2 linked regions of the Macaca fascicularis genome follow. Each later gene encodes a partner of the first gene's protein in a complex. Links are inferred from orthologs where the notes say so. Each region holds a gene or a part of one and is shown on either strand. Other genes may lie near its edges.

Region 1 (4,310 bases):
CAAGTCATGCTGGTTGTCTCCTCCCAAAGATCCGCTTGGATCTGCTTCCTTCTCCCTTCCTTGCTGCCAGGAAGCTGTTCAAAGTCGGAAGCTGAGCACACAGTCAATCCCTCCACAAATAATCAAAGGGCAACGACTACCTAACAGGCACAGCAGTGAACAAAACCCGGCCGGGGGCGGTGGTTCACGCCTGTAAAGTAATCCCAGCACTTTGGGAGGCCAAGGCGAACCTAGGAGCGAGCACTTTTGGAGCGAGCCTGAAAGCCTAGGAGCGGATCACGAGGTCAGAAGTTCGCGACCAGTCTGGCCAACATAGTGAAACCCAGTCTCTAATAAAAATACAAAAAATTAGCCGAGTGTAGTAGTGTGTGCCTGTAATCCCAGCTACTCGGGAGGCGGAGGCAGGAGAACCGCTTGAACCCGGGAGGCGGAGGTTGCAGTGAGCCGAGATCGCACCGCTGCACTTCAGCCTGGGCAACAGTGCGAGACTCTGTCAAAAAAAAAAAATTCCGCCGCGTCAGTGTGGGGCGTTGACGCGGAGCCTCCTGCCTGGGCCCCTACAGCGTCACCCCCTCCTCTGTGCCTGCCAGAGGCGCCACCTCTGGACTCTCCCAGAGTCGGACCCTGGTCGACAGTGTTCCCTGCTCGGACCCTGCACCGGCCGTTAGATGAAGCCTCGGCGCTGCGCCGTTCACACGCTCCGTGCTGCCTCCACTGAGAATTTGGCGCGGGCCTGCGAGCCTGTGCCCCGGCCTCCCTTCCCTGCTTCCAGCGAACCTCGGCGTCTGCTGTTCCCCCGCCGGGCGCGCCCTTCCACTCTAGTCTCAGCGGCAGTGTCACCTGCCCGGAGACGCCCCCCGTTGCACCCCATCTCCCATCCTCAAGCTCGTTGCTCTTCCTGCCCGCACAGCCCGCCTGCAGCGCCCACCCTGGAGGTCCGCCTGCGCGGAGGCCGCGTCCACGAGAGCACCCCAAACGCCACCAGTGGGTTTTGACCGCAGGAACGCAAGTCCTGCCCCAGCCCGTCTCTCCGAGCTACTTCCGCCCTGCAGGCCCCCACGCCCCGCCACGCAAGGCCGCAAAGGCTGCGCACCCCTCCTGTGCGACCACCCTGCCGCCCTCAGCACAGCCGGGCCTGGAGCCCCGCCTCCACCGCCGGCGACAGGGGCCAGAATCGGCCCGGGCGGGTCCAGGGAGCCCGCGCAAGGAAAGGGGCGGGGCACGGCCGCGATAACACCCTCCGCTCCGGACGACGAGCATCGGTTATCGCGCGGCCCTCCCAGGCTCAGCAGGCTACCCATGTGCTCGCTCCAGCAAGCGTGCAGCCAGTCCGGTCAGTCCCAGGGACTTTACCGGCGAGGAGACACCCTGAACGTCCCCAACGCGGCTACCACAAACTGCCTTGACTGTCTAACACTTCCCCGCCGGCGCCCATTGGGCCAGGCGTTTACGTCATCGCTACGCGCCGGACGGCGGCGTCTTCCCGCTCCTTGACTCTGACGTCAGAGCGGCGCCGGCCTCGGAGGCTGAGGAAAGCAGGAGGAGGTGGTGGCGGCGGGAAGATGTAAGTTGGGGCGGAATCCGACCGCATCCGTGTTTCGGGGGCTGCCCGTCAGGCCCGGCAGGACGCATCGTGAAGCCGGTCCACTTCTCAGCCCCGCAGTGCGGCGGTGGCCTGGCAGCGCGGTGCGGGCTCCGAGAAGAAAGAGTGTGGCCCGGGGCGGGCGGAGTGGGAGGTGTCGAGGCCGTGGCCCGGAAGTGATCGGGGCCGCCGCGGACGGAAGGGCGCCTCTGCTTCGTCCGCTCGGCGGTGGCCCAGCCAGGCCCGCGGGACTCGGAGCAGCGGTGAGCGCGGCCTCCGTTCTTGGGGCCCTCCCGCCGGGCCGGAGACCCAAGCCCCCAACGCCAGGCGCTGCCCTGGAAGCGCTTGCGGCCCGGCGCCTGGACGGGGAAGTTGTGAGTGAACGCGGACGGGGAGCGGCGAGGTCGGCGTGTCGGGCCGGTGCCGGCGGGCGCGGAGTTTCTTTGTGGGATGCGGTGGAAGGTCGGCCGATCCATCCTTCGGAGTCATTAATTCAAACGTGTACTCCGCGAACGTTTCCCGGACTCCCGTGTGCAATTGTCGGCGCTAGGCCGTGGGGATACGGCCCACTATGGACCGAACACGGTGTCCGAGCTCAGTTTGATGGGTTATCCCAGAGGGGTGGATACGGGAAGGTTAAGGTTGATGGAGGAGAAACGTGGAGTAGGCTTTTTGTCTTGATTTCTCATGAACTGTGCCTGAAATGTACTCTTAAATGGGGAAGGTGCTCTGAAGATTTATGCCGAAACGCCCTCTCCTCGAGATTTAACTAATTGTTCTCTCCTCTCTCTGGCTGTTGGACGCGCACCTTTCCGGAGGATGGGGGAGGTAACCGAGGTCCTGAGCCGGTACCTGAACTTGGGTGAACAGAGAACCTCAACTTTTGCTTTCTAGCACTCGACCGCACCCAGCGAGCCGTCCGCTTACTCAGTGGTTCTTAGTGTTTGGACTGCTTGAGAATAACTGGTGGTGTTTGATTCCACAAAGTACATTTGGGCAGATCTTTAAGTCTGGGGGGGTGGGGCTGAAATCTGCGGGTGTGACCTCCACTCTAGGTCTGTGCTGTCCAGTGAAGTAGCCATTGGCCACATGTGGCTACTAAGCATGTGAAATACAGCTCATCAAAACTGAAATGTTAAAACACATACCAGTTTTAGAAGACTATGAAAAAAAAGTAAACTTTTATTAGTAGATTTTTATGTTGATTATATGTTGGAAAGATAATATTTTGGATGTGTCAAGTGTTAAAAATTTCACCCATTTTTGTGATGTGGCTACTAAGGAATTTCAGGTGATGCTTGTGGCTCCTCACACTGTTTCTATTGGACATTTCTGCTGCAGGTGATCCTAAGGCAGATGAGTGCAGGAACCCTGCTGAGAGTTCAGAAATTACGTGTGACTTTGGAGACAAATGTCTGGGGGAGGGAGGAGCCTTTACAAATCTTGCTCCTAACATTATTGAGCTTTTCATTAATGCCCTGGGTAACTATAAAGTTGGAATTGTAATTGTCACCATATTGATAAGAAACTTGAGAAAGGTTAAGTGACTTGTCGAAAATTACACCGTAAAACCTCAAATCAAACCCAGGCCCTCTGGTTGCAGACTCTGAATTATACTCTGAATGATACTCACTGACTGTCCGAGGACACCAACAGTGTCGAGGCACTATCTGCTGGGTGTCTGCAGAACCTTACTATTCTAAAGCAAAACATGATACCCCCGGACAAGAGCAGCAGAGGTGGTGTTCGGCCCTCCTTGGCTCATTTGACTGTTTAAAGCCAGGTGCTTTTCTTTCTTGGGTCAGAACACGTTTTCAGCAGCATTTTGAAGCACCCCTGGCAGGTACTGCACAGGGAAACCAGGACCCCATTGGTGTGCTGTGTCCTCCTTACCAACTGGCTCTTGGAGAAGGTGAGACAGAAGTAGCTGAGACTCACATCCTGAGAGCTGCACTTAACAACTCCTGCAGCTTGTGCAGAACTTTACTGGAAATACTGAAGGCGTCCCTGGAAAATAGGGCCCATAACTAATTAGTTTGCTTTTGAGTAATGAGTAACCGCTATTTGAACACATTCTGCAGTCCAGGCATTTTGCTAAACTCTTACATGGCAGGCAGTCTCTCATGCAATTTCAGTGCCTACTTTTTTTTCATCTTATTTTTGAAAAATTTTTAAAGCACAGGAACGTCAAATTATACAATTAATACCCACATAAAGACTACTTAAGGGCCAGGTCTGGTGGCTCACGCCTGTAATCCCAGCACTTTGGGAGGCCAAGGTTGGCAGATGACAAGGTCAGGAGTTGGAGACCAGCCTGGTCAATATGGTGAAACCCTGTCTCTACTAAAAATACAAAAATTAGCCAGGCTTGATGGCAAGCACCTGTAGTCCCAGCTACTCAGGAGGCTGACGCAGAAGAAACGCTTGAACCCAGGAGGTGGAGGTTGCAGTGAGCCAAGATCGTGCCACTGCACTCCAGCCTGGGTGACAGAGCAAGTCTCCATCTCAAAAAAAAACAAAACAAAACTCAGAGGTTAAGAGTCTGTAAGTTATATTTCTGCTGTATTTGCTAGATGGTTTTTATCAATCTTAGTTTTTCTTTCAATCTTAGTTTTTCTCAATCTTAGTTTTTCTTTCAAAGTAAATTGCAGACTTGCATGTATTTTCCCCTACACTCAATATGCATATTATTAAAGTACAGTGCAATTACTGCTTTTTAAAATGATTC
Region 2 (3,938 bases), on another chromosome or scaffold:
GGGAATATAAAATAGTGCAACTGCTGTGAAAAAGTTTGATGGTTCCTCAAAACTTAAACAAAATTAACATATGACCCAGTAATCCACTCCTAGGTACATACCCAAAATAACTGAAAGCAGGGACACAAACACATTTGTATGCCAATGTTCACAGCAGCATTATTCACAATGGCAAAAAAGATGAAACAATCCAAGTGTCCATCAATAGATGAGTACATGTGATGCACACATACAATGAAATATTATTCAGTCTTGACAAGGCTGAATGGATGCTACAACATCAACCCCGAAAACACCATGAAATAAGCCAGTCACAAAATGACAAACACTGTAACGAGTTCACTGAAATGAAATATCCAGAATAGACAAATTCATATATAGACAGATAATACATTAGAAGCTACCAGGGGATGGGGCGGGGGAGGAATGGGAAATTATTTTTTAATAGGCACGGTGTGTCCTTAAAAGGTTACCAGCACACTGGGCATGGTGGTGTGTGCCTGTAGTCCCAGCTGGTTGAGCCAAGGAGCTCAAATCCAGCTTGGAAAACAGTGCAAGACTCCATCTCTTTAAAAATTAAAACAAGGCAGGATGGCGTACAGGCTTTCTGTTGGAGGGAGGGATAAAAACTTGTAGAAATAGTGGTTGCACAACAATTTGAATGCTATTAATGCCAACAAATTATACACTTAAAAACAGTTAATGACCATGCACGCTGGCTCACGCCTGTAATCCTACACCACTTTGGGAGGCCGAGGCGGGCGGATCGCTTGAAGTCAGGAGTTCCAGACCAGCCTGGCCAACATGGTGAAACCCTGTCTCTACTAGAAATACAAAAATTAGCCAGGTGTGGCGGTGGGCGCCTGTAATCCCAACTACTGGGGAGGCTGAGGCATGAGAATCCCTTGAACCCGGGAGGCAGAGGTTGCAGTGAGCCGAGATGGGCGCCACTGCACTCCAGCCTGGGCGACAGAGTGAGACTCAAGAAATAAGAAATGGTTAACATGGCAAATTTTGTTACATATGCACACACATATGTATTTTGAGACGGAATCTCGCTCTGTCGCCCAGGCTGGAGTACAGTGGCGCGACCTCAGCTCACTGCAACCTCCACTTCCCAAGTTCAAGTGATCCTCCTGCCTCAGTCTCCCAAGTAGCTGCGATTACAATTCTATGCCACCACACAAGGCTAATTTTTGCATTTTTAGTAGACACAGGGTTTCATTATGCCGACCAGACTGGTCTCAAACTCCTGACCTAAAGTGATCCGCCAGCCTCAGTTTCCCAAAGTGCTGGGATTGCAGGCATGAGCCACCGTGCATGGCTTGTTATATAACTTTTTATCGCAATAAAAAATTTATTTTAAGCCAGGCGCGGTAGCTCACACACCTGTAATCCCAGCACTTTGGGAGGCCGAGGCAGGCAGACAACCTGAGTTCAGGAGTTCGAGACCAGCCTGGTCAATATGGTGAAACCTCATCTCTACTAAAAATACAAAAATTAGCCAGGCGTGGTGGTGGGCACCTGTAATCCCACCTACTGGGGAGGCTGAGGCAGGAGAATGGCGTGAACACGGGAGGCGGAGCCTGCAGTGAGCGGAGATGGCGCCACTGCACTCCAGCCTGGGCGAGAGCAAGACTCCGTCTGAAAATATATATATATATACACACACACACATATATATATAGCATATACATATATTTTTCAGTTACACACCTTTTACTTATATTAAAAACCCATTATGGTGTCAATCCAAGGAGTTATGTGCAGCGCTAAAGACAAGCCGGCAGTAGTTTGTAGGGAGATACACCCAAGAGATGAACACTCAGGAACCATCTTCACTAAACACACACCAAAAGCTCTTCCATCAACCCTTAGATAATAACTCGGGTTTTGGTAGTTTATTTTTCACTTTTGGTGCTTTGGTACCTAAGGCTTAATATTACGTGGAAATGCTCTTTGAGAATAACAAACACCACTCGACAGCATCACTCTCCCTTACCATGCTGTCCTAGTGCAATTTATTTGACCATGAGTCCCTTTAGGGCGGATACTACAACTTAATCATCTACCTATCACTTTTGTACCTAGCAGCCATAACAGTGCTAAATCTTGGGTCTGTGCATTCTTAACCGCCCAAAAGTTGCAACATTAATCACAAAAGCGTTACAATAAAGGCAAATCTCCTTTCACCTAACAACAAAAACTTCTAACTTCCCGAAAGTTGAGCCTGAAGACCCCAAGTGGAGGAATGAAATTTAAATCAAGGAGAATAACTCTCTACACTGGCAAAGGCAATTAACTGTTGTTCCAGGTTCCCGGCCCGGGTCCGAGCCCGCCCCCGCCCTCCTCACCAAGTGTAGATCTGCAACTCGCTGGACGGTACATTTCCCCGGGAGAACTCGTCCATTCGGTGGTGGCGGCCGTTATTGGTGGTGAAGACCCGCAGCAACAGTGGGCATGTCTGAGGGCGAGAGAAAAACGGAACGGCAGAAGTTAAAGACACCAGCTGCGAGCCCGGACCTCACCTCTCTTCCCGAGGCGTTGCGGCCTCCGAGCCGTCCGGATACCAAAAACACCGTCTCCTCCCGCACACAGGCCGCGCCTCTGCACCCTGCCGGGCCCACCCCCAATCTCTTCCCGGACCCCAAAGCGGAGGGGACCTTCACCTTCTCGCGGTCGATTGGCTTCTCTGGCTCCTTCTTAATTTCCTCCTGGGTAACGCGCGACTCCACCGCCATCTTCCTCCTACGGCCCGCTAGACGCTCGCCCTGACCTCCGACCCCTGCAGCGAGCATGAGCACGAAGTCTCTCGCGAGGAGAAGCTCGACACTTTATAGTCGGGCAGTGGCTGGGCGGGGCGTATCCTGGCGCAGGCGCACTTCCGTTCGTGGCGTGCGAGCCGGGCGCGCCTGCGTGTTGCGACTTCGGGAAAAGGTGGGTGCTGGCCTCAGTGGGGAGGAGCGGTTTAGCCTCCGTCGCCTGGCAGTTGGTTGCCGGGGTGTTTTTTTTTTCCCTTAAATATTCACAGGCGAAATAAGCTTAAGGTGGCGTTTTCACTCGTAATGACGAAAACCTTATTGGACACAAAACGTTCCTTTATTAGCAAAATATAGATCTTTCTGATAAAAGAACAGGTCCGCCATACCCGCCCCTGAGGTAAGCCGGAAGAGGCGTCGCCAGCGTACGTGGTCATGGAGCGATCCTTCCAGCCACATACACGGCGGCTTAGAGACCGGAATGCGAGCAGGAAACCCGGAACTTGTAGGAAATAACGTTCTAGAATATCTTCAGGACCTATGGATGGGAATATATGATAGAAAAAACTAACGAGAAGCAATTGATTTGACTGGGTTAGGACAAAAATAATCTGACCTTCAAAACTCCGTGATGAACAAACTCCATGATGAACCCAAAATGCCAAGTATATGACTGAACTTAAAAGTGATATCATCTTACGACTGAAAAGTGGGAAAAAAAAATACATCATAAGAGAGAAAAAAGCCACAGAGTGGGAGAAATTTGTTACACATATGATTGACAAAGGCAATTATCCAGAATATATAGGATGTAAACAGACAACCCAATCGAAAAATGGATAAAATTACTGAACAGGTGCTTTGGAAATGACAAAATCCAGAGAGGCAACAAACATGTAAGGTGAGCAAGCGCATTACAAATCAGGGAAATGCATTAAAACCATGATTAGTTTCAATTGACTGGTTTTTAAGCCACACCCACTAGATTGGCAAAAATTAGGAACTCTGGCCAGGCGTGGTGGTGGCTCACGCCTGTAATCCCAGCGTTTTGGAAGGATGAGGCAGGCGGATCACCTGACCTCCTGACTCCCGACTTGAGGTCAGGAGTTTGAAACAAGCCTGGCCAACACGATGAGGCTCCGGCTCCACTAAAAATACAAATAAAAATAAAAATAAAAA

What was found.
Region 2: RNPS1 (region 1) and SAP18 share a complex: the UniProt entries of both Homo sapiens proteins name them as parts of the heterotrimeric ASAP (apoptosis- and splicing-associated protein) and PSAP complex. The link is inferred for Macaca fascicularis from reciprocal best matches to the Homo sapiens genes RNPS1 and SAP18.

What each region holds. Positions count from the first base shown.
Region 1 is NC_088394.1:3,040,696-3,045,005, reverse strand, and holds the start of RNPS1 (RNA-binding protein with serine-rich domain 1), read left to right. Parts: upstream 1-1,504; 5' UTR 1,505-1,562; coding exon of another isoform or gene 1,563-1,564; 5' UTR 1,565-2,756; exon of another isoform or gene 2,757-3,494; intron 3,495-4,310. UniProt on the Homo sapiens protein: Part of pre- and post-splicing multiprotein mRNP complexes. Auxiliary component of the splicing-dependent multiprotein exon junction complex (EJC) deposited at splice junction on mRNAs.
Region 2 is NC_088391.1:793,851-797,788, forward strand, and holds the start of SAP18 (histone deacetylase complex subunit SAP18), read right to left. Parts: upstream 2,811-3,938; 5' UTR 2,799-2,810; coding exon 2,670-2,798; intron 2,465-2,669; coding exon 2,355-2,464; intron 1-2,354. UniProt on the Homo sapiens protein: Component of the SIN3-repressing complex. Enhances the ability of SIN3-HDAC1-mediated transcriptional repression. When tethered to the promoter, it can direct the formation of a repressive complex to core histone proteins.